Linked DNA regions of Oryzias latipes. Each later gene encodes a partner of the first gene's protein in a complex. Links are inferred from orthologs where the notes say so. Each region holds a gene or a part of one and is shown in the gene's direction. Other genes may lie near its edges. The genes, in order: exosc8, exosc2, exosc3, exosc6, exosc4 and exosc5.

Region 1 (3,961 bases):
TTTAAATAAAAGAAAATGCAGCCATCATGCATACATACACACACACCCACACACACACACACAGAAACCATGGAGTACTAGTACATACATGTGAAAATCGCTATCTTACACGTGCTAAGAAGTTAGTTACATTACTAACAATGTTAAAACTATCCATACACTTACCACAATGAAACCAAGAGCCGCTAATGCGACGAGAACTTGAATAATTTCACAGATAAAGTCCATCATGTTTCCATAAGTCGCCCTACAGCTCCTAACTAACACCTACACCTGGCTGGCTGTAGCTAGCTTTTCTTCTTTGTCCCGTTCCGTATCCCAACCCTCTAACTTATAACAAAGGTGTAAACGAAAATATATGAAATATAAACACTGAATCTCTATGAGCCCATAACGCTTTCAAGCTCCACTTCCAATCAGAGCTGTACACAAAAGCAACACGGAAGTAAATTTTACTCCTCGACACATCATCAGTTTGAAGCAGAACTCCACATGACAGGCTGCGAGAAATGCATACTGCCACTTACAGGCGTGGGGTGGTACTGACACTAGCAGGTTTTTAGTTTGTTTGTTTGAACAACCAAACAACAGGTTTTGTTTTTCATGCATATATTTTATGATCATTGCTAACCCTAACGTTTGAAGCAGCAATGTCAAAGTCTGAAAGACAAAAAAAGAAAAGACTAACCAACAACTATAACTAAAAACTGAAAAAGAAAAATAATTAGATTAAAAATTGTCAAGCCTGTAAAAAAGGGTTAATGCAGTTTTATCATTTCTTTATGGTTTAATGTAGTTTAAAACCAAATTAATACAGGTGTTAACAAAATGAATATAATAGAAATAATATTTATATTAATATCTTTTTAAGATGACACAAAATCAACAAGACAGTAGTAATGAAATAAATAAATCCCCAAATACGAGAACAGTTTAAAACTTGAAGGAAAATCTGGAAGAAAAAAAACAAAAAACAATAAAACATGAATGGTAAATTATTAAAAGCTTAAAGTAGCACTTTCTTTATTAGTTACTTATATTTTTGGAAATTGGATTTGGGTACGCCAAAAAAATAATACAGTAAAAAGCGGATCTTTATCGTCCCTAAATTAAAAGAAGAAGAAGAAAAAAGTGTTCAGGTTCAGCACAGCATGGACGAGGTTTTTTCCCCATTGCGGCTGCCGTAGCACAAACCCACGTGTTGTACCAAAACATCATGGCGGCTGGATTCAAGTCAGTATCTGAAAGTTGTTCAGGTTTTATGTAATTTACGGCGTTTTTTTCGTTTAAATTAACTTTTTAACTTTACATAAAGAAAATGAATTATTTGCTGTACTTTAAATCAAAGTGGAGAAATCACAAAGTCTAGGTTATGTCCGTTAGTAAATTGGGTTTCTATTTATTGCCGCTAAGAATTTATTTTTTATTTTATCAACATAACACTAAACGTACGTGATTTTGTACATGCATTTACCTTTTCTGTCTTCCCTCATGACTGTTTAGGACCGCTGAACCTCTGGAATATCATATGAGCTTTCTGGTTTGTCCAATTTTTTATTTATGTATTTTTTTATTAGATTGTCAAAATATGGCACACACACACATTCACATAACTACAACAGAAAGAAATAAAAAGGAAAAAAACGTTAAAATTGTAGTTCACAATACTAGGGATTGCCATACAACATGTGATCTTCAATAAAAATGGACAGTTTTATTGCGTTTTTGTTTTTCATTAATTTCAGGGAGTTGAAACATAAACAAATCTCTTAATGAAATGTATTAAATGGTTTGCTTTTTAAAAATCTGCTGTTATGAATTAAGAACTTTCCAGAAATTAATATTTCAACTTTACTGTAACGCTGTAATGTTACACTCATATCAATTTGAATCTAAAACTTTATTTATTTTCCCCATAGAAAGAGAACTGTCGACCAGATGGACGCGAGCTGTCTGAATTCAGAACCACGACATTGAATATAGGTGAATTGAAGCACCACAAAGTTGCAGTGTTTATGATACAAGCAAACAACAATCATTGAGCACTTTTCTCTTTTGGGTTTGTGTTCAGGGTCCATATCCACGGCAGACGGCTCTGCATTGGTGAAGCTGGGAAGCACAACAGTCATCTGTGGCATCAAAGCTGTGTGTTAACATGTTATTACACTGAAACTCACTCTTAATAATTTATTCCAGATGCCTTTGTTTTAAAAGGTGTACAGTTAAAAAATAAAACAGATCTATGTGAATATTTCTTAACCCCCCACCACTTCTTTCAGTGTTTGTACATTTAGCAAGTTGTTTCCTGTGTCATACATTGATCTATTCTGCAGGAATTGGCAAACCCTACAGTGGAAGCTCCTGGTAAAGGATATATTGGTAAGTTTTTATAGATAAAAATAGTTAAAGATACTTTATCGATGCCAACTTGTTAAATTTGTAGCAGTAGTGTGCAGACCTTAGCTTGTACAGAGAAGCAACTATCAAAAATCAATGATGAATGCAGCGTATCTCTGGCACAAAGATGAGTTAAACAGTCCTATGTCGTGGAACAGGAATGAGCTCCTTTAGCAGTCATCGTAGCAGCACTTGGAAAGGCACTCAACTGTCCATCCAGTACGGCAGGCAGAGGATGCTCAGGATTATCCATGATGGATACGAGTTTGTTCTATTTTTAGCTTCAAGGGTTGTCACTGAAAAGCACAAGTTTTTAAGTGGAAAAATAATCCCAATCATTGGACTTTTCCTGTTATTTATAGTCCCCAATGTAGACCTACCACCCCTCTGTTCCTCGCGATTTCGGCCAGGCCCGCCAGGAGAACAGGCCCAAGCTTCCAGCCAGTTTATCGCTGATGTCATCGAAAGGTTTGTCAGAATTAAAAACACTACAATCTCTTTACTCTCATCAGTTTATCTGCATTTCTCCCAATGGTTTTCACCAACTTCCATCCACCTTTGCAGCTCTGAAATAATCAAACCAGAGGACTTGTGCATCGACAGAGGAAAGGTAAATCCAGACTGATGCCGTTTGTTTTCACTGTTGGTTCACTAGCGGTGAGTCTATTTATCCTCTTTGCAGCTTTGCTGGGTGCTGTACTGTGACATCATGTGTCTGGATTATGATGGAAACATTCTGGATGCGTGCATCATTGCTCTGCTGGCTGCACTGAAGAACAGTACGTCATTGTTTCAGTAAAAAAAAAAAAAAAATAATTAAAGTTATTCTGTACATTTTAACCAACTAATCCGTGTTTTAAAATTGAAAATTGCCCCGAAAGGAGTCTATCAACAGGCTGATTTTGCATTTTTCACTTCCCACAGCTCGTCTCCCAAAGGTCACCGTCAACAAAGCGACATGCAAACCAGAGATAGATTTGAAAGAGCGACACGAGCTGCCGGTTCACAAACATCCAGTCGGCACCTCGTTTTGTATCTTCCAGGAGTACGTTTTAGATATTGTTGCATTTTCTGGGTTTGTTGAAAGCATGTGTACAAACCAAGCGTGCTCTTTGTGCAGCTCCATCCTGATTGTAGATCCCACCGCTGATGAGGAGAGTCTGTCCACATCGCGGCTCAGCGTGGTCACAGATGAGGAGGAACGACTCTGCTCTCTACACAAACCAGGTCAGACAGGCCGTGCAGTGCGCTTCCGGCGATCAACACAATAACTCCAATCATACGGAGCTGAAACCCGGTTCTTTGCGCCTCAGGTGGGACGTCCCTGTCAGCAGAAAAGCTCCAAACTTGCATCAACCGAGCAACAGCACGACAAAGAGAGATCCAGAAACTCATCGAGAAAGTTCTAAACAGCGTGAAGGCAGCACAATAAAGACACCCAGACCAAGACTTTTATCTAAAAGCTGTATTTTCACTGTCAATATATATGTTCTTTTTTTTTTAATAACAATAAAACTGCTGACAAAGACTGCTTAAAAAATTATTTCTCAATATTCAGAAACCT
Region 2 (3,984 bases), on another chromosome or scaffold:
AGAAACTAAATGAACCTCCCCTGATTGTGTTCGTGCAGGGACAGCTGGAGCAGCGCGTGCGTTCACTTCACTTCACGACTTACCCGGCTGAACCAGATGCTGATCTGGGTTTCTGACACCAGGGCGAAGTAAAACCTCTGAGAGCTGGGCTGGATCTGGAAAGGCTCCTCTTCGCTCCTCAGCGGACAAAGCAACCTCCGGGGCCAACCGGTTAGAAAATACATGACGGCGCTCTTTAGTTCGAGCAGGCAGCGCAGCAATCCAGATCCTCGGTAGTTGCCTCTACGGGCGACTCATAGTGCTTTCGTCGAGACAAAAACACTACTAAAGAGCCCGGTGATGGCGCTGGGCAGGTTTAATCCACAGATTCCATACAGAAATACCAAAGCAGCCGACTGAGCTCCACGGCTAGCCCCGGGCTAGCATTGGATTTTCAAACTTAAAGCTAGCGAGCGGTGCGCGGTGTCCCCGAAAACAAAAGCGGCGAGGCCCGTCGCGACACCGTGCAACGCTAAATTGTGCCCGCTGTACCAGTATGCTGGCCAATCCGCTTTGCTCCCCGAGCTTTGTCAGTTGTTACGCTGTCTGGACCAGTGGTGTTCATTAAGAGATAAGCGTCCAGTTTTTACTCCACTGAGCCTCACTGTCGCCATCTTTACAAAGAGTCTATCCATCTTAACGCTGATTGGTCAGCCGCACGAAATTTGCTTAATGTTGACATCCAACGTCACCACTCTGTTATGTGACAATGGCTGCTGCGTGACACGAGGGTGACACCTAGTGGTCAAGTGAGAAGACATCCAGAAAGAATGTATTGTCATGGAGTTTCATTAATTTCTTTAATGAAAAAAAGAAAGAATAGAAATATGGAGTCCCATACTGTTCATAATTAAATAAATAAATATTTAATTAAATAAATAAATATGACCTCATGCAAATAGCAATGTGAGCAACATGATAAAGTTACAGTATACGAAAAAAGAAACAGAACTCAGCTGATTTCTTTTTATCGAAGACCAAATGTGACATTAATGGACAATAATTTGGTGCCAAACTGCATGAAAAAGAACGGAATTTTTTTCTAATTTGGAATAAAAAATAAATATTTGTGAGGATGGATATTATTTCAAGATGTGCTGCACAAGATACACTGTAGTAGTAACTCCATACCACAAGGAGGTGCTAATGTAGCTATAACACGCTTTTAAGACGCCAAAGAAGCAAGTGGAGGAAAGTTTTGTGTTAGCATAATATGCTGTTTGGTTGGCATTTATTACAAGTTTATAGGGTAATCATTTGTTAATTTAAAAACAAAAACAAAGATTCAATAACTACGTACACCATTTTTTTTTGCATTTTTAAACTTAAATCTGACTTAAACGAGTGTGAAAGAAGCCATAACCAGAAGAGTTGCGGTAACAGCATGGCTCTTGATATGAGATTACCGACTGTGAGGAAAACGGTGTCTCTGTCAGCTTCCGCTTTCGACCGAAAGGATCTCGTTGTTCCCGGAGACATCATCACTTCGGACACAGGTTTTATGAGGTAGGTTCTGCTTGCGTTTTGGAACACGTGTTTGATACCACGCTGATGTAGTACGGTAAGCTACATGCTAAAAAGAAACTCAGAACACACCAGAACTTATTTAGATGTGTCTTTGATCTGATGGAATACTGATGAAGGATAAGAAATTACATCTTTACATGATTTTAATAAACCATAACTACAATTTGTCGTTTTCTAGGGGGCATGGCACTTATGTTGATGAAGAAAAGCTGACAGCTTCAGTTGCTGGAGAGGTGCAGAGGGTGGACAAACTCATCTGTGTCAGACCACTGAAGACCAGGTGAGTGTGAAGGACAAAAATCTTCAATGTTTATGAACAATAGAATTGGTTGGTGGATTGACCCATTCAGATCGGACTAGCCCCACTTTTGCAAACATTCTTTAAGATCATTTGTGCGTCATTTTAGATTTAATGGCGAGGTTGGAGACGTTGTGGTCGGCAGAATTACAGAGGTGAGTTATTCCAACTGTTCTCTAAAAAGGCAAAACGAGATAACAATTTTTTTTGTTGTTGGATTCATTGTATCTGTTTTTGCTAATAATCTTTTCAATCTGTTTGATTTGATGGTTATATACAGGTGCAGCAGAAACGTTGGAAGGTGGAAACCAATTCCAGACTGGACTCTGTCCTCTTGCTGTCATCAGTAAACTTGCCTGGAGGAGAGCTGGTGAGACAGAACTGTGTTGTTTAACGAGAGAGAAGCGTTACAGGATGAGTTGAACTGCATGCTCTTTTTTGTTGTTGTTTTGTTATACAGAGGAGGAGATCAGCAGAAGATGAGCTGACCATGAGAGAATATCTTCAGGAGGGTGATCTCATAAGTGTACAGAGGATTTTCTAGTCTTTTTGCCAACATTTCCCCCTCATAGTTTTTGTCACTAAAGACTACTTTGCTGTATTTTCTCACTGTTTTTAGGCAGAAGTGCAGTCTGTTTTTTCAGATGGAGCCTTGTCATTACATACTCGCAGTTTAAAATATGGAAAAGTAAGTGCACAGTGTTACTATGTTGATATCTCCTTTTGGTAAATTTTACAGAGCTGTTTCCCTGTTGTTGTTATACATGTTGAATAAATTTGTGTTTCTGGCCATGTTCACACTGCAGGCTGAATCCAATTTTTCTGCCCCTATGCGACCTGTGTCTGATCTTTTTATGACAGTCTGAGCGACACAGATCAGATCTTTTCAAATGCGACCTCCGTCTGAATGGCCAAGCCACATGTATCCGACCCGTAAGTCATTATTCTGCGTTGAAGTAGGCGGGAACAAGAACATGAACATCAACCATGCCGGACGATGCTGGTGAGACCAGTCATTGGAAGGCAAGCAAGGTCACCGATTGGATTAAAATTTGGGGTGACAGCTCTATTCAGGCCAAACTCGAGGGCTCTTATCGCAACCGGGCGGTTTTTTGAAAAAAATTCCAGCGAAATGGCCGAGCGTGGGGTTGAACCTTCCTGGCAATTACTTTTTTTTCCCCTTTCTGACCGTGGTCAGAAGCGCGGGGGACCGAAGGCGGATCCTCCTTTGGGCGTTCATTTCCCCGTTCGGACCCTCAGATTCTCTAGAGCAGTTTAATAAAGAGTCAATAGCAGCCTTTTTTTATTATCGTTGTCCTTCCTCCGTAACACACAACATGAATGCGCACAGCGCAGTAGGGAATGCTGCGCTGCACGTGCTCTCTCCTCTCTCTTACACACACACACACGTGCTCGCGCGGCCCCAGCACATACACATCCCCATTCCACCACAGTGGGTACAGACGATCCTGGCTCCAATGCCTTCTTAAAATGAGAAGATTGTAATTGTGCTGGCTCCATCTTGAAAATAAATGTAAACTGCAAAAAGAGCTCCGCTGTTGACAACACTGTAGTTGACATCCATTGCTAACGTTAGCTACTTCCGCAAACAACGAGTGATGTCGTTCCCCGTTGAGTACTCTTCTGCGCATGCGGGTCACTTCTGGGTCATTTCACGGTCACACAGGAAATCACAAAAGTTCGCATTTAATTGGAAATGTGAACAGCCTTGCAAGAACATCGGATTTTTTCTAAAAAATCAGAATTGAGCATTAAGCCCTGCAGTGTGAACGTAGCCTATAGGTACCGGTATATCATTTTTTTTCTTTTCTGGGTCTCTGTATTCTTGTTAGCTGGGTCAGGGAGTGCTGGTGCAAATTTCACCTTCTCTGATCAAGAGGCAGAAAAGTCACTTCCATAATCTTCCATGCGGTGCATCTGTTATCCTTGGCAATAACGGCTTTGTGTGGTTGTATCCCACACTGGGACAACAAGAGGAGGAAGCTGGAGGTTTCTACACCAGTCTTGAGGTAACTTTGTAGGTTTATAAATATTTTATGTTTCAAAATGATCAAAAAGTGTCATCTAAAAAGTGTTAATTGTTTTAAAAATATTTTAAC
Region 3 (3,937 bases), on another chromosome or scaffold:
CAGTTGACCACAAATGTGCACGTCTGCTCAGAATGGTAGAAACAGACTCCATGAGGTCGCCAGGTGGGAGTTGTGTTGACAGCCCAAAACCGTGCGAGACATTTGACATTTGCTGTAGAACACCAAGCTTGGCATAGTCACTGTTGACACAGTCTGGAGATGCGGTGGAGAATGCTCTGCTGCCTGCAATATTGTCCAACATGAGCGCTTTGGCAATGGGTCAGGTATGGTTTGGGGCGGCATTTCTTTGGAGTGCCACACAGCCCTCCATGTGCTCACCAGAGGTAGCCTGACTGTCATTAGGTACTGAGATGAGATTCTCTGACCCCTTGTGAGACCGCATGTTGGTGCGATTGGCCCTGGGTTCCTCCTAAAGTAAGACAGTGCTAGGCCTCATGTGGCTGGAGTGTCAGCAGTTTCTGCCAGACGAAGCTAATGATGTCATGGACTGGCCCGCACACTTTCCAGACCTGAATGCAATTGAGCACATCGGGGACATCATGTCTCGTCCATCCACTAACTCCTGGTTGCACCCCAGACTGTCCAGGAGTTAGCAGATGCTTTGGTCCAGGCGTCAGAGAAGATCCCTTGGAGGACCACCCGCTGCCTCATCAGAAGCGTACCCAGGCATTGCAGGGGAATCATATGGGCATGTGGAGGCCACGCCCACTACTGAGCCTCATTTTGACTTGTTTCAAAGAAATTACATTGAAGTTGGATCAGCATGTAATGTTCACACATCCAGACATCCATAGCCGAATAGTTTTAATTTCCATTACTATTTTTATTTTATTGTGTTGTCAGGACATGCAAATATGTAAAGAATGAAGCATTTCAAAAGAATATTTCATTTGTTCAGGCATAGCATGTCTTTTTTAGTGCTCCTAAATCGTTTGAGTTGTGTACGTGTGTGTGGGTGTGTCTGTGTGTTACACTATTGAGACATTTTTATACTACTTTTTGTTTCTGTAGAAAATTATTTTACCTTTTTTCAAAGACGATTATTTTAGAGGAAATTTGGTGAGACCTGGATTTATCCAAAACGTTTTGAAAGGTGTGTCCTTTAAACAGGAAAATTCTTATAATTTAGAAAGCGCTATTGTTCCTCCTGGTCACCAGGGGGCGCAAAGTAAGGATCTGATATAAACAACAAAAAGAAGAAGACGACCATGAGCACGACAGGAGGCATGTTCGCCGTTCTGAAGGAGAAAGTTGGACAGGTTCTGGTTCCGGGGGACGAGTTCTGCTTTGGTGCAGAGGAAACGATCTCTCTGTCGGAGAGCGCGAAGCCGGAGCGCGCGGTGTGTGGACCAGGGCTGCGGCGGAGCGGAGACCGCCTGGTGGTGATGAAGAGCGGCGTGCTGCGGCACAAACCGCCGCTCACCTTCTGGATCGATTCCCAGCAGAAGCGGGTAAGAGCGGACCGGTCCGAACCAAAGGTTCTGAGATCCCAACAAACTGCGTTCAGCGGTCCAGAGACGTGTTTAGAGCATTAATGTGAAGCGGTCCGGTCACAACCAGCATTCAAACACAACTTTATTGATAGCACTTCCTGATGAAATCCACCTCAAGTGCTTTATATAACAAATAGTAAAAATATCAGTTACAAATAACAAAGTATAATCAAATAAAAACCAAATACGCGTCAAGCTAATACATCAAAATAAACTAAATTAATTATTTATCAAATTAAAACATATGGACTGATACAGAGATATGGGTTTTGATTCGATGCACTCAACTAACCAAGAATTTAAAAAAATCCACACATGATCTGCGTATTTTCAATTTAGACCCAGATTATTTATGCAAACACAAGTTTCATTTTTGCAAACTTGTGTTTGCTTAAATAATGTACTTTGTTGTGAATAAATGTGTCCGCGTGCGTTCGTTCCATTGATCCTTAGGACAGTGTTTTTCAACCTTTTTTGAGCCACGGCACACTTTAACCCTGAAAAAAATCCCGCGGCACACCATCATCCAAAAAAAAAAAAAAAAGCAGAAATTCATGGTCTGTATTGATCGACAGCGCCCCCCCCCCCCGCAATCTCACGTGAATTTTTGTGATAATTGTGGCAGAAAAAGCAGGAATTTGCGGCTGTTTTTTTCTAAGAGATGAACCACCAGCTAAAGCTCGTCTTTAGCTGGTATATTTGTTAGAACTGAGCGACTTTATCAGCAGAATTAAGAACAAGGAAGTGAAGACTTTAAGCACTTCTGATTGGTCAGACTGATGACATGTGATTAAGCCTTCAAGAATGATTGGCGGAGACAGTTAAAGGGGCGGGACTTTTCCTTACACAGTTAGAGCTGCAGCTAAATCGCGGTACCGTGATTTTTATCAAAATCTCTTTAATAGAATTAAATAAACACAAAGAAAAAGTAATTTTAAGATCTTTTATATTCCTAACTACTCAGTGTTTTATCAGGGCCTGTTTGGATGAACACAGAGCTGAAATCCTGGAGATGGAAAATGTTTTTAGATCAGTTAATGAGGGCAATTTCTCCACGGCGCACTTGACCATCTCCCACGGCACACTAGTGTGCCGCGGCACACTGGTTGAAAAACACTGCCTTAGGAGAATCGTAGTGTGACGTCACCCATACAAATGGCTTACTGGCTCAAAGATGAAACAAACAGAGATGCTTGTCCTCCCCGAGCAGCAGCAGGTGAGCAGCAGAGTAGAGAACCGCCCCGTGTACTGATGATGGGTTGGTTGGCAGTGAAACATCTCTAAAGTCGGATCTTGGCGTTTACTATATTATTTCACCCATTTTGACTTAATTATTCTCTGTGCTGCACATGACTGCGTCTCTGGTCAGCGTGAGTTGGCGCTCAATGCACTCTGCAGGTGGGTGCTGGGGTGGTGTTGGTCCAGTAGACCTGCAGCTGCTCAGAACTGCACAAACGCCAGACGTATAGAGAGAGAGACAGGCACAACTCATTGTCATGGAATACCTTAAGTCAGAGAAAATGAACATGGAGGCATTAAATAATTCTTTGTGTTTTTAAAAGAGTGGATTCGACAGATGTGATCATAGGCGTAACTGATTTGTTTCCACATCTCACTTTGAGCAGTGGCCTATAGACCACATGTGTTGTAACTTTTTTGTGTATTTTTTCACATTGTTGTCTGAATTCTAATAAAACCAGGTTATGTCTTGAGCCAGGTTCAAATTTGCACAAGGTCATTTCTCTGAATATAAAGTTATATGAATGACAAGAGGATCTTGTTTGTGAAAACTGTTTTTTGCCTTGAGAATCTGTATGTGAGAGGAAAAAAAGTGGAGTAACCGGTAGGCAATTACCGTACTAAATAGGTGAGTAAAGTAATTTAATTACAATTTTGTAACACTAAGTAAACAGTTACTTTTTAGAAGTCATTTTCCCAACACTGATGCCAATATGACGTCACCCGTTTCCCTAAATAGAAAGGTAATAAATATGAACATTTTATGACGACTTTATGAATCTACTGTGTTCTGATGATGAAAACCTAATGGTTTATAAAAAATAGTGGCCAATCAGGAGTGAGCTTGTTTGAAGGTCACACCCCTATCACTTGAAAGCAGGCTACATAAAATCTGTCAAATGTTTCACACATTCAATGTGAGAAGTTATGTCAATGGGATTTTGGCTTCTTGGAGCCAGCGGGTTCTTCCTGTTTGGAGCATGAGGAGGGAGGGGTCCTTCAGTCCAGTTCTCGAATAGTCAATGGTTTGTTCTCCTCAGTATGTCGCCACTAAAGGGGAGACCGTGATCGGGATCGTGACGGCCCGAGCAGGAGACACCTTCAGGGTGGACTTTGGCGGCAGCGAGCTGGCGTCTCTGTCTTACCTGGCGTTTGAAGGAGCCACCAAGCGAAACCGACCCAACGTCCAGGTGAGTGTGGGTGGGGCTCTGTGTGCAGTCTGCTGTGTGCAGTCACTCCAAGGA
Region 4 (3,284 bases), on another chromosome or scaffold:
ATTCCGCTGCAGTTTTCGCACTAAGACCACCCTAAAACCGGGTCCTGTTCAAAAGCCGCTGGACCTGGACTGCTCAAACCTGGATTAAATTATACATTAGATACTAAAGAACACATTAAACACCGTTTCAGATTTGTGAAACCTTCCTCTGATTTGTGAAAATCTCAAATAGGTTGATTTTTATCGCATTTTACGCACTGAGTCCAGTGGACCTGGTCTAAGGTGGACTCAGTGCGTAAAATGGGATAAAAAATCAACCTATTTCACATTTTCACAAATCAGAGGAAGGTTTCACAAATCAGAAACTGGGTTTAACGTGTTCTTTACTATCTAAATTATTATTTAATCCAGGTTTGAGCAGTCCAGGTCCTGCGGTTTTTGAACAGGACCTGGTCTAAGGTGGACTCAGTGCGTAAAATGCGATAAACATCAATCTATTTCAGATTTTCACAAATCAAAGGAAGGTTTCACAAATCAGAAACTATATTTAATGTGTTCTTTAGTATCTAATGTATAATTTAATCCAGGTTTGAGCAGTCCAGGTCCAGCGGTTTTTGAACAGGACCCGGTTTTGGGTGATCTTAATGCGAAAAATGCAGCGGAATGTTTCTTTTGTGCCTTCGCGAATCGGAAGCTGTGAATCGGAAGCCAACTTCAGCGTCGTAAACCGCCATTATACTGACAGTCATCATTTCTTTCAAACTGGCCCTAAAACTATACTATATTTCGAAGCAAAGGTAAGTAAAACTATTTGGAAAACCTTTCATTCTAAATCTGACAAATCAAAATGCACTAACTGACCTGACGCTAGCAAACTGCTATGCTAGCCAGTCAAAAGCAACCGCTGAAATTTCCGTCCCTGCTAGTGAATTTGGAAGTCAACTATGAGGGGAAAACTAACCGGCGAATCAACACAGTGAGTGTCATTTACCCAAGCAAGTAGTTTGACTCACATAAGATGCTGTTATCACAAAACGAACCGGTCACAGCTCCCCAAAACACCGCTTCAGTCCACGCTGCTCGCTCAGAAGGGAAGTGCAGAGGCGATGGACACGCCCACGGACGCCACCTATTGGTTCAGATGTGCAGGAAGCCGGCGAACGCTCAATCCCATTGGTCGAGCCAAGCTGTCAGTTTTAGCCGAGCCCGCCACATTAGTGGTGCAAACTCCTCTGCTGTGGTTGATGCAATGAAAAAGACGCAGATGCCAACTAGCACGTACAATTTATTTTAGTTGTGCAACGAATAATTAATTTCTAACAAAAGTTATACACATTCGAAGCATTTCTAGCTAAAAGAAAAGGCGTAACGGAATTTTGCTTTGACTAAATTGCTAAGATTTAGCTATTGCGTGTATTTTATTTACTGTTACAAATAAAATATGTTGAAAATTAAATAATACCATCAGAATTAATTTATTTTTTATGAATAAATTCAAATTAATAAAGATGATGAAACATGACAACACTATCGGAACAAGCGGAACCGTGTTGCTGTGGGGACAGATTTATTGACGGACCGATCCCTGAACACCCGCTTCATTCGGTTCACGTGAGAAGAGATCGCCATGCCGACGGACACCAAACGTGTACGCGGGCCCGAGGTGTCTCAAAGCCCGTCTTTGTTTGACTGCAGACCCTCTGTGGTTCCCCCGTCGCATGGGGCCCGAGCGGACGGCCGCCAGCGGGACCAGGTGGACGTCCGGCCGGTGTTTGTGCGCTGCGGCCTGGTGAGTCAAGCTAAAGGTTCCGCGTACATAGAAGCTGGAGACACCAAGCTGCTGTGCAGCGTTTACGGCCCGAGAGAGACGGAGCGGAAAGATGAGACTGACATGAAATGTGGACGGTATGTAGTGGTCTTCATCCAGTTTTATAATGGAAGACTAATAGAAATATGTTTGCATTCAATGATATAACAAAGTAAAAAATAACTATGTGATAAGGCTGTAATTGGATTCTGCTAGAATTAGTAAAATAGAAAATCAGTTTAATTTTTTAAACAATACATTTAAAGTCAAAAGTTGATAAATCAACACATCTGCTTAACCAGACTGACCACAGACATGCGCTTCGCCCCGTTTTCCTGTCCGGAGAGGGGCTCCTGGATCCAGGGGAGCCAGGACAAGAACTTCTCCCTGATGCTGCAGGAGAGTCTGCAGCCGGCCTTGTGCCTTCACAAATACCCCCGCTCCCAGATTGAGGTCAACGTCATGGTCCTGGAGAACAGCGGTTCGGTTCAGGCCCACGCCATCACGTGCGCCTCCCTGGCACTGGCTGACGCGGGGATTGAAATGTACGACCTGGTGCTGGGCTGCTCCATCCGACAGGATGGCTCCTCCTACGTGGTCGACCCCACTTACTCAGAAGAGAGCAACTGGAGCAGCAGCGAACACCAAGGAGGGCTCACCGTGGCGTTTCTCCCCAGCCTGAACCAGGTTTCCGGCCTGCAGTCGGATGGAGAAATGGCTGAAGAGACTCTGACGGCAGGGATTCGGACCTGCATTGAGGGATGTTACAAACTGTACCCAGTAATCCAGCAGGCTTTGGTTAAGGCTGTGCGCAGAGCGCAACCCCCACCACCCGAAAGCTGAGAGGCAAAGTCAACACTATTTTTTGTCTGAGTCTTCAACAAGAACTTTAAAATTCAAAACAGTTTTTCACCTTGTTTCTTGATCTGAGGTGAAAGGATCCGCCAGCGTCCCCCTGATCTAAGAAACAGATTGATCCTATTTATTCATTTCTCCACCGTCTGCCTGCAGGACAAAACTTTGAGTCAGTTTGTTGATTTTTTTTTTTCCCCCCATGCCCCAAAAATCTAAATAAGGTAAACAAAGTTTTTCCTGCTCTTTATGCTATAGGGGAGAAAAAAGAAAACAAATTATGAAAAACTGAGAATGACTGGTTTAAAAAAAGAAAATGTTTTAATGCAAATGTCTGTTTTGTTATTTTAAAAATAAAAATACAGAATAAAAAATAAAAAATCCTAGTCTTTTTGTATTTTGGTTAGCATTTTATCACAGAAATGTATAATACAGAAGGTCAGATTGCATTTGTTTGCACATTTTCTTTAAAGAAAAAGTACCAAACTCCTATTTGTTCTCCAAAGTGAAACTCAGCTTGGATATTATATGGTAATGTGTCACCCGTGTTTTCATTCAGGATCTGATACTACGCTTTGAATTGCTCCAATTCAGGAAAAGTGACACAAGCTCCACTACCTCAGTATCATTTGCCCATCGCTAGTTTGTAATATTTATTCCATTTTTTCCTGTTTTACTAAATAGT
Region 5 (3,447 bases), on another chromosome or scaffold:
GAAGATGAGGCTGGAATGTCGTCTGAGATCTGATAAAAGCTTTAAAGTGAAATGCTGGCAGGCAGTTTGTGTGACTGAAATATTAACAAAGCAGGCCAAAATGTAGTCAATTTAAACACGTTTTAAAAGGTGAAAAGCTTTACTCTGTAATCAATTTAAAAACACACAAAAAACTTATTTTAAATATGGCATTACAAGGTAAGTCTACTTCATATTTGTAAATTATCAAATGCTTTAACACAAATTTTTTTTTAAATATGAAAAAGTGAAAGATGTTGATCTGATTTAAAATGATCACGAACGATTGGCGCTCAAAAATATTAAAATTAAACTAGAAAAATAAATGACAATAGAATTGAATCCTTTTTAACATCAGAAATGAAAATATATCTTCTGTATAATTTACAAAAATGCTAAAACATTTTATTTAAAAAGATTAACACTGGATTTACTTTTTAAAATTTGAAAACCAAGATGTTTTGGAAAAATAAATATACTTTGACTTGGGTTCTGATTTCAGACAGAAGATAAAACAAACTGCAGCGCCTGTAAAACTTGTCAAGATGTCAGGGGCAAAAATTAATAAAATAAAAGAAAATGAGAAAATCTGCAGGTGTCCTTTAAAGAATTCTTATAGTAATTTCAGAAAATGTTGCTGTACTCTAATATCAAAATTCTATATTTAAAGACAGTATTTTAAAATTGACATTCCCAAGAAAAAACAATAGTTATTAAAATCATGATTAATCTTTATCAGATTATGTCAATACTCTGACATTAAATGAAGTGTTTATTGTGTTGAAAATATTTATAAATCTGAATTCCTAAAACTTAAAATGCTTAAAGTCTTATTTTATCTTGTAATTTTAAATTAAAAATCGGAGTCGTGAGATTAAAGTCAGAATTCTTAAATGTAAAAACTGCATGCCGTGTGTAATTTCTCAGCTCCTGATTTTAATTTATTTTATTAATTAGTTTTGACTCGCGTACTAGTAGTTCCGCATTTATCTACTTCTTTTGTTCTGACGTATCAGTTAGATTTAAAAATAATATAAAATAAGAAAAAAGGCTTTCTAAATGTTTCGTTAGGCTACTTTTCCAGTAAGAAGTTGTTACTAAACCATCTAAGTAAAATAAATATGGAAATCTTTTTTGCGACACTTTCTTCCGACGTTGCTGTAACTGCTCGAAGAGGATGATGGTTAATGTAGTACATCAGTAGACACGTGTGTTGTCGTGTAGTTAAGCTAGGGAAAATGGCGGGTCTGGAGCTGCTGTCTGATCAAGGATACCGGTTGGATGGAAGAAAAGCTACCGAGCTGCGCAAAGTCCAGGCCCGCATGGGGGTGTTCGCTCAGGCCGACGGTTCCGCGTATCTGGAGCAAGGAAACACCAAAGCTCTGGCGGTGGTTTACGGCCCGCATGAAGTGAGTGGCGCGCGCGCGTGGAGAAGTGACGTAAAAACAACACCACCAGTCTGTTCATGGCAGCCAAAGAAACGGTGCAAACTGCGTTTAATGAAGGATTAAGATATTTCTATGTAATGTGTCAGATTTAAAGGGATATTTTACATTAATGTAATGATTTTAGTATAATACGTTTCCTTCAAAGCATTTTATTGTATCAGTAACACAAAATGTTTACTTATCTGGCTCGGTCACACAGTACTTACTAACAACTGCATTCAAGAGTTTTTGAACTTGTTATGCTATTCTGAGGTAAACTTACTGCTTTTGAATCTTTGACTTGCTGAGAAATCCAAGTTAATTTGAGGATTTGTTGGTTAATTTATTCATTTACCAAAAGTATTCCAAGCCCCAAATATAACAGCCCCTTACCATGACACCATTACCACCATGTTTGACTGTTTGTGCAATGTTTTACACTAGAGTGATGCGAGGCACATCACCCAAAATGTTTCACGGTTATCTTTTCTGTCCTGAAAGTCTTTCCTAAATCTTGTAGAACATCGATATTTCTGATGGAAAACCTGAGATGTTGTTTTTGCTCATCTGTGCCGTTGACCTCAAACTCTCCCATGTCTGGCGTTTTTATTGTCTGGTTTACCTCTGATGATGGATTAAAAAGCTGTTTTACTCAAAGGACAGATGTATGCCGCCCTGTGAAAAATGTCAGACCTTTTTTATGGTTCTCCTATGCTTACTTCCTGTTTCCCATTCAGATTCGAGGTGCTCGTAGTCGGGCTCTTCATGACAGAGCCATTATCAACTGCCAGTACAGCATGGCCACCTTCAGCACGGCGGAGAGGAAGAGGAGACCGCACGGAGACCGCAAGTCCACAGAAATGAGCCTTCACCTCAAGCAAACGTTTGAAGCTGCCGTGCTGACCCAGCTCTACCCACGCTCCCAGATAGACATCTATGTCAAGGTTGGCCTTAGATTTATAGTATACTGCGCTCTACTTCATAGCATCTGTTTTCGTCATTGTTTTAAGAACGTTTTCATCATTCAAGATTCTTCAGTCCGACGGGGGGAACTACAGCGTTTGTGTGAACGCCGCCACACTGGCAGTGATCGACGCAGGGATACCGATGAGGGACTATGTGTGCGCCTGCACAGTGGGCTTCGTGGATGAAACCTCTCTTGCCGATCTTTGCTACGCAGAGGAGAGCGGAGGAGTGAGCTCTCTGGCTTTGGCGCTTCTGCCCCGCGGAGGGCAGATCGCTCTGGTCCAGATGGATGCCAGACTGCATCAGGATCACCTCGACACTCTGATTGAGGCGGCAATGACCGCTTGTAAAGGTGTGAGCAAAGTCCTGGACCAGGTGGTCAGGCAACATCTCCAAGAAGGTTCTACGCTCAGAGAATAATGGTGAAGGAAAGAGTAAACAAATGGTTTCCTGGGATCAACACTTATTTTGTCGTCATTCTTAACATTTTATTAAGTATATTTGTGCATAAAGAATAAATGTGAATGTATATCGTTTCTTTGTATTTGCATTTGTTTTATTAGCTGAAAACTGACCTGTTTTTGATGCAAAAATCAATGTGATCAACTGAAACAGCAACATCAGCATTTTATATATAAACAGATAATAAAGCTTTGTTTTCAGACTGATACAATAAGAACCTTTATTTTAAACCACACATCCGTAAGAGTAAACAATTTGTGAAAAATTAGATAATTCTTATATCCAATTTATTTAGCTGTGTTGATATCTTACAAATTTTCACCAAAACAATACTTTTTATTCCTGAATGAAATGCTCTGTTCATGTGTTTAGTCTTTTTTTTTTAGATTAATTTTCTTTGATTTGTTTTGCAGACAGGCTATTCTGCTTTTGCTTTTGTTTGTTGTAAAAGTAATTTTTATGTCACAATACAATACATGTTTTGTAAGAGTTTCAGTCCGTTGAGGCTGAATAATCTATCATTTTCTTTACCTGCTGAAACAAAATTGGTATTAATGTAACTTACTTTTTAAAG
Region 6 (4,145 bases), on another chromosome or scaffold:
CTGGCTCATGTTCACTGTCGCACAGCAGCACGAGGAGACAAAGGTGACTGGAGATTGGGGCAACCACTTTCTCCACTGCTGCAGTTTTGATAAAACTTTGATCCAGACATGAAGGCATAGTTTCATTTATCGGTGAATTCTTCCCTCTGCGAAAGAATTAGCTGTGCTGCATGTATTATTTATCATGCTACACAAAGTGCCATATGGCAGTTCCCCATAGCAACTGTTGTCACAACGTTATTTAGAATTAATAACATATAAATCATCATTTCTGACATTATTCATTGATTATTGACTGCAGTGGTGGTTCTGCACTAACTTACTCCCAGGGAGAGTAACTCCCCAGTGCAATTTGACGTTCTTTTGTGTTCCCTATTTTTATTTGGCCATTTTACACAAAAGATGCGTGAATTTTGTGGGCTCGTATTACGGGGGTGTCAAACTCACTCACACAGGGGGCCTAAACAGAAAACATGCTTTAAGTTGGGGGCCCAACAACATTTATTTACCAAACTAAAGCTACACTTTAAAAAACAAAACAAAAAATACTTTTAAACCTTTATAACAGAGGTTTTTTAACATAAAAATGAATAAAAACAGACAGTATTGTTAATCCAGAATAAATCAAGTTAAACCGTTAATAACGGTGCTCTCCATAAAAATATATTCAGTCAAAATTATACAAATATGAACATGCTGCAGAACAAAATAAACAAAGTCTGGAAATATTTAATTCAAATTATTCCGTTTTATTTGCTGTTTTGTCAAATTTTTTGTCAGCAAGTAAGTTCATTTCTGCTTGCTGTGTGACGTGCTGTGTGTGTCTTTGTGAAACGTATCAAAGGGATTTGATTTTTTTTTAAACTGCTATTATGAAAACCATTTATAGGTCTTATAAAACATTAAAAACTAAATCATATAACTCCTCACTGGAATTAATCAAAGTTTATTTTGGCATTTTCCTAATTTTGTGCAACACCAACAGTAAAAATTCTCCAAAAAGCCTTAATTCATTCATTAACAAATGATCCATTGTTTATGTCTAATCTCAAAAAGTGCAGCTGTTTTACTGCCTGCATTACCTGCTGTCTTTATGTCAAATACTGACACCAATTAAATGACAGGCATACGTAAAAAATACATTTTATATGGAAAATAAAGACACGTAATAAAAGTGTCCAACAACAACAATAGCAATAATCATAATAATAATAATAATAATGTTAATAATATATTTTTTAAACTACTTACTTTGTTGTTGACTTTCTGACTGTTTTTTATTGAACACAAAATTTAAAACACAACATTGGTTTTGATGCAGAGCCCCTTCGCGTCGGTAAATAGATGACGTCATCGTCCAGCGACGCATCCCCTTCCGTGTTGGCAACGTGATGGAGGTTTCTGCTCCTTCAAATGTTTCTCTCCGAGAGTTTGGCTGCGAGCAGAGTTTACTTTCTCGGCCGGATGGATCTGCGTCTTTCGTTCAAGGTAACAGCTGAAGGAAAATGTTGACTTTTTTCTTTAAGAATATGAGTACAACTCCCGATTCCGCCCAAAGAATTATGGACAAACTTATTATTTCAGAGAAATAATTTGACTCTCGACTGCTGGCAAACGATCTTTAAATGAGTTTTAAGCTAAGAATGTCCTAAAGTACTTTTTGTATTTGCTTTATTTTGGTTTTGCATTAGTTTTAGCTCTTGGTAAATGTTGTAAAATTGTTAATATTCAAGAACAAAAATGAGCAGCTAAATAATAACTAAATATTTTTACGAACTTATCTTTTCACATTTAGTTTTTTGTAATCAAAAGTCAACTGCTGTTAAACCATTAAGAAGCCAAACATTTGAAAAATAATTTCTAGTCATTTTTCTATAAATAAAGATGTTGAAATGTTGGATTCATCTGTTTTACTTTCTGTGTTCAGATCAGCTCTCTCAAATTTAAATATTTATTTCTTGGTTTACTCATCCTCTTTTTTTCATTCCCCAAATCATCTTTGAATATTTGTATCCTAGTGGTCATTGTGAACTGTTTACATCGCCGGCATCGGACTGTATAGTCTGGGGTCTTGGAGCAACATTTTTTCAAAGATTTTCTAATAATTTCCCTATAAAAGTTTTTTTTTGGGGTAATGCTTTAAATTATTTTTTTAATATGACCCCATCTTCTTTTTTATTCTTTTTTTTCAAGATATTGTTTAATATAGTGTATGGGATAGGCTCCAGCAGGCCTGTGACCCTGAAAGAGACAAAACGGGTTTAGAAGATGAATGAATTATATACTATGTAATAATTCTACAGTAAACCTGAAACTGAACCAAAACCACCACTCTAAGCAGCAGATTTGGTCATGCATTTACTGCAAGATTTACACTGTTTTTATGTTTTATAGCCAAGATCAAAGTTTACAGACACAATAAGAATGTAGAAATCACATCATTGTTTCAGGTTTGTCCTCTATTTTAATAGAACTTTGATCTTTGTGTTGTTTTTGTGTCTCTGGAGGGGACACGAGTGTGATGGCTGGAGTTTATGGACCTGCTGAAGTAAAGGTCAGTAAGGAGATCTACGACCGAGCAACTCTGGAGGTGCTGGTTCAGCCCAAAGTTGGTCTGCCGAGTAAGTTCTGCTGCATGTCCTGGAAAAGTCAGATGCTGTCACGTGTGTCTGGTTTTTCTGAAACCAATTCAATCCTTTTTGTTTTTAATCTGTTGTAGAAAAAAAGCAAAAACAACTACTAATCCTTGTTTTTGTTGCTCTAAAATGAATAAATCCAGCTTTAAAGAAGGAAGTCTGTTAAATGTAGAGACAATTATAATCACTTTCAATGGATTCAAATGTTTATATGCAAATATCCTCTTAAGCCTGGTTTCATTCATGTCTTTGGGTTGAATGGAAATCACAGATGCTGTTTTATTTCTACTGAATCACAGTAAAAAGATGAACTTCCTCAGGTCTCATGTGGGTTTTAGTTTCATCTGAAGGCTCACTCGTATCTCAACAGTTCTGCAATTTATAAATAAGCATTAAGACAAAGGTCCGATCAAGGTATTAAAGTCTTTCTTTAGGAATGTTTTGTGCAACTGATTTATAGGATTACGCCATAAGGGGGAGCCAGTGGATTCCTTATCAGCTTTGAACTCATATCCCATCATGCCTCTGTTTTCCAGGTGTGAGGGAGCGCTCGCAGGAGCAGTGTGTGCGTGAAACCTGCGAGGAGGCGCTGCTGCTCACCCTCCACCCTCGATCTTCGCTCACGCTGGTCCTCCAGGTGCTGCACGACGACGGCTCTGTATCCTTTACTAAACCCGACCTCTGAACCCGCGGGGGGCGTGGCCTAGCACCTGCCGAGTCGTCTTCCTTACCTGCTCTGCAGCTCCTGTCCTGCTGCCTGAATGCAGCCTGCATGGCCCTCATGGACGCAGGTCTGCCGATGAGCTGCCTCTTCTGCGGCGTGACCTGCGCCATCAGCGCATACGGGCAGATCATCACTGACCCCACCTCAGCTCAGGAAAAGGTCAACCAAAGATGCTGACACTAACCTGAAAATCTTCATTTTTGCTGCTTTGAATGTAGAAATATAATCAGAAAGCAAGTTTAACAAAAAGTTCTCAATTTATGGTTTAATTTTCATGAAAAAAAGTCACATTTCATAGAATCCCTAAAACATGGATGTCGGTTTTCATCAGATCACACCCCTGACCTAACTTTACTGGTGAAACAAAAATCCAGCTGTGTAGTTTAGATCCAGATTCCAGCTCAGGGGAGGATAAACAAATTTAAAGGCTAATAAAAATTCTAACTTTGCTAAAAAAAAATGGGTTCATTTTCCACCAAAACTATTTTTTTTTTATTTCATAAAAATGCAGTTTTTCTTTAGTGTGTCACCTTCAGTTCATCCTTTTGTCTCAGTGTTTCAGTTCTAAAACAGTTTGCCTTTAAAATTGGTTGTCTGCCCGTCTGGCACTAAAGTCCTATTTTAATTTCTTTTCAAAGGAGAGTCGAGCTTTGATGACTTTTGCCATCGACAGTAAAGAACGTAAAGTAATGATGTCATCCACCAAAGGATCCTTTTCCGTTCATGAGGTCCGTCCAGCCGTTTTTCCATCATCTTCCGCTAAGCTCTCATTTCAATCCTCTCAG

The links.
Region 2: exosc8 (region 1) and exosc2 share a complex: the UniProt entries of both Homo sapiens proteins name them as parts of the RNA exosome core complex. The link is inferred for Oryzias latipes from reciprocal best matches to the Homo sapiens genes EXOSC8 and EXOSC2.
Region 3: exosc8 (region 1) and exosc3 share a complex: the UniProt entries of both Homo sapiens proteins name them as parts of the RNA exosome core complex. The link is inferred for Oryzias latipes from reciprocal best matches to the Homo sapiens genes EXOSC8 and EXOSC3.
Region 4: exosc8 (region 1) and exosc6 share a complex: the UniProt entries of both Homo sapiens proteins name them as parts of the RNA exosome core complex. The link is inferred for Oryzias latipes from reciprocal best matches to the Homo sapiens genes EXOSC8 and EXOSC6.
Region 5: exosc8 (region 1) and exosc4 share a complex: the UniProt entries of both Homo sapiens proteins name them as parts of the RNA exosome core complex. The link is inferred for Oryzias latipes from reciprocal best matches to the Homo sapiens genes EXOSC8 and EXOSC4.
Region 6: exosc8 (region 1) and exosc5 share a complex: the UniProt entries of both Homo sapiens proteins name them as parts of the RNA exosome core complex. The link is inferred for Oryzias latipes from reciprocal best matches to the Homo sapiens genes EXOSC8 and EXOSC5.

The regions. Positions count from the first base shown.
Region 1 is NC_019872.2:10,272,857-10,276,817, forward strand, and holds exosc8 (exosome complex component RRP43), read left to right. Parts: upstream 1-1,161; 5' UTR 1,162-1,216; coding exon 1,217-1,233; intron 1,234-1,503; coding exon 1,504-1,540; intron 1,541-1,919; coding exon 1,920-1,983; intron 1,984-2,071; coding exon 2,072-2,145; intron 2,146-2,333; coding exon 2,334-2,379; intron 2,380-2,759; coding exon 2,760-2,865; intron 2,866-2,961; coding exon 2,962-3,007; intron 3,008-3,079; coding exon 3,080-3,176; intron 3,177-3,321; coding exon 3,322-3,442; intron 3,443-3,517; coding exon 3,518-3,624; intron 3,625-3,710; coding exon 3,711-3,829; 3' UTR 3,830-3,925; downstream 3,926-3,961. Other genes in the region: alg5 (dolichyl-phosphate beta-glucosyltransferase), read right to left, coding at 166-231. UniProt on the Homo sapiens protein: Non-catalytic component of the RNA exosome complex which has 3'->5' exoribonuclease activity and participates in a multitude of cellular RNA processing and degradation events.
Region 2 is NC_019870.2:12,830,056-12,834,039, reverse strand, and holds the start of exosc2 (exosome complex component RRP4), read left to right. Parts: upstream 1-1,184; 5' UTR 1,185-1,423; coding exon 1,424-1,545; intron 1,546-1,744; coding exon 1,745-1,846; intron 1,847-1,973; coding exon 1,974-2,019; intron 2,020-2,144; coding exon 2,145-2,234; intron 2,235-2,324; coding exon 2,325-2,390; intron 2,391-2,483; coding exon 2,484-2,552; intron 2,553-3,717; coding exon 3,718-3,894; intron 3,895-3,984. Other genes in the region: ric1 (RAB6A-GEF complex partner protein 1), read right to left, coding at 84-224. UniProt on the Homo sapiens protein: Non-catalytic component of the RNA exosome complex which has 3'->5' exoribonuclease activity and participates in a multitude of cellular RNA processing and degradation events.
Region 3 is NC_019868.2:3,163,742-3,167,678, forward strand, and holds the start of exosc3 (exosome complex component RRP40), read left to right. Parts: upstream 1-1,137; 5' UTR 1,138-1,169; coding exon 1,170-1,412; intron 1,413-3,733; coding exon 3,734-3,883; intron 3,884-3,937. UniProt on the Homo sapiens protein: Non-catalytic component of the RNA exosome complex which has 3'->5' exoribonuclease activity and participates in a multitude of cellular RNA processing and degradation events.
Region 4 is NC_019864.2:25,018,398-25,021,681, reverse strand, and holds exosc6 (exosome complex component MTR3), read left to right. Parts: upstream 1-1,188; 5' UTR 1,189-1,567; coding exon 1,568-1,845; intron 1,846-2,049; coding exon 2,050-2,590; 3' UTR 2,591-2,784; downstream 2,785-3,284. UniProt on the Homo sapiens protein: Non-catalytic component of the RNA exosome complex which has 3'->5' exoribonuclease activity and participates in a multitude of cellular RNA processing and degradation events.
Region 5 is NC_019875.2:26,759,988-26,763,434, reverse strand, and holds exosc4 (exosome complex component RRP41), read left to right. Parts: upstream 1-1,192; 5' UTR 1,193-1,256; coding exon 1,257-1,427; intron 1,428-2,182; coding exon 2,183-2,389; intron 2,390-2,474; coding exon 2,475-2,831; 3' UTR 2,832-2,947; downstream 2,948-3,447. UniProt on the Homo sapiens protein: Non-catalytic component of the RNA exosome complex which has 3'->5' exoribonuclease activity and participates in a multitude of cellular RNA processing and degradation events.
Region 6 is NC_019873.2:26,312,798-26,316,942, reverse strand, and holds the start of exosc5 (exosome complex component RRP46), read left to right. Parts: upstream 1-1,345; 5' UTR 1,346-1,391; coding exon 1,392-1,488; intron 1,489-2,507; coding exon 2,508-2,621; intron 2,622-3,172; coding exon 3,173-3,294; intron 3,295-3,378; coding exon 3,379-3,519; intron 3,520-3,998; coding exon 3,999-4,088; intron 4,089-4,145. Other genes in the region: catenin alpha-1-like, read right to left, coding at 1-118. UniProt on the Homo sapiens protein: Non-catalytic component of the RNA exosome complex which has 3'->5' exoribonuclease activity and participates in a multitude of cellular RNA processing and degradation events.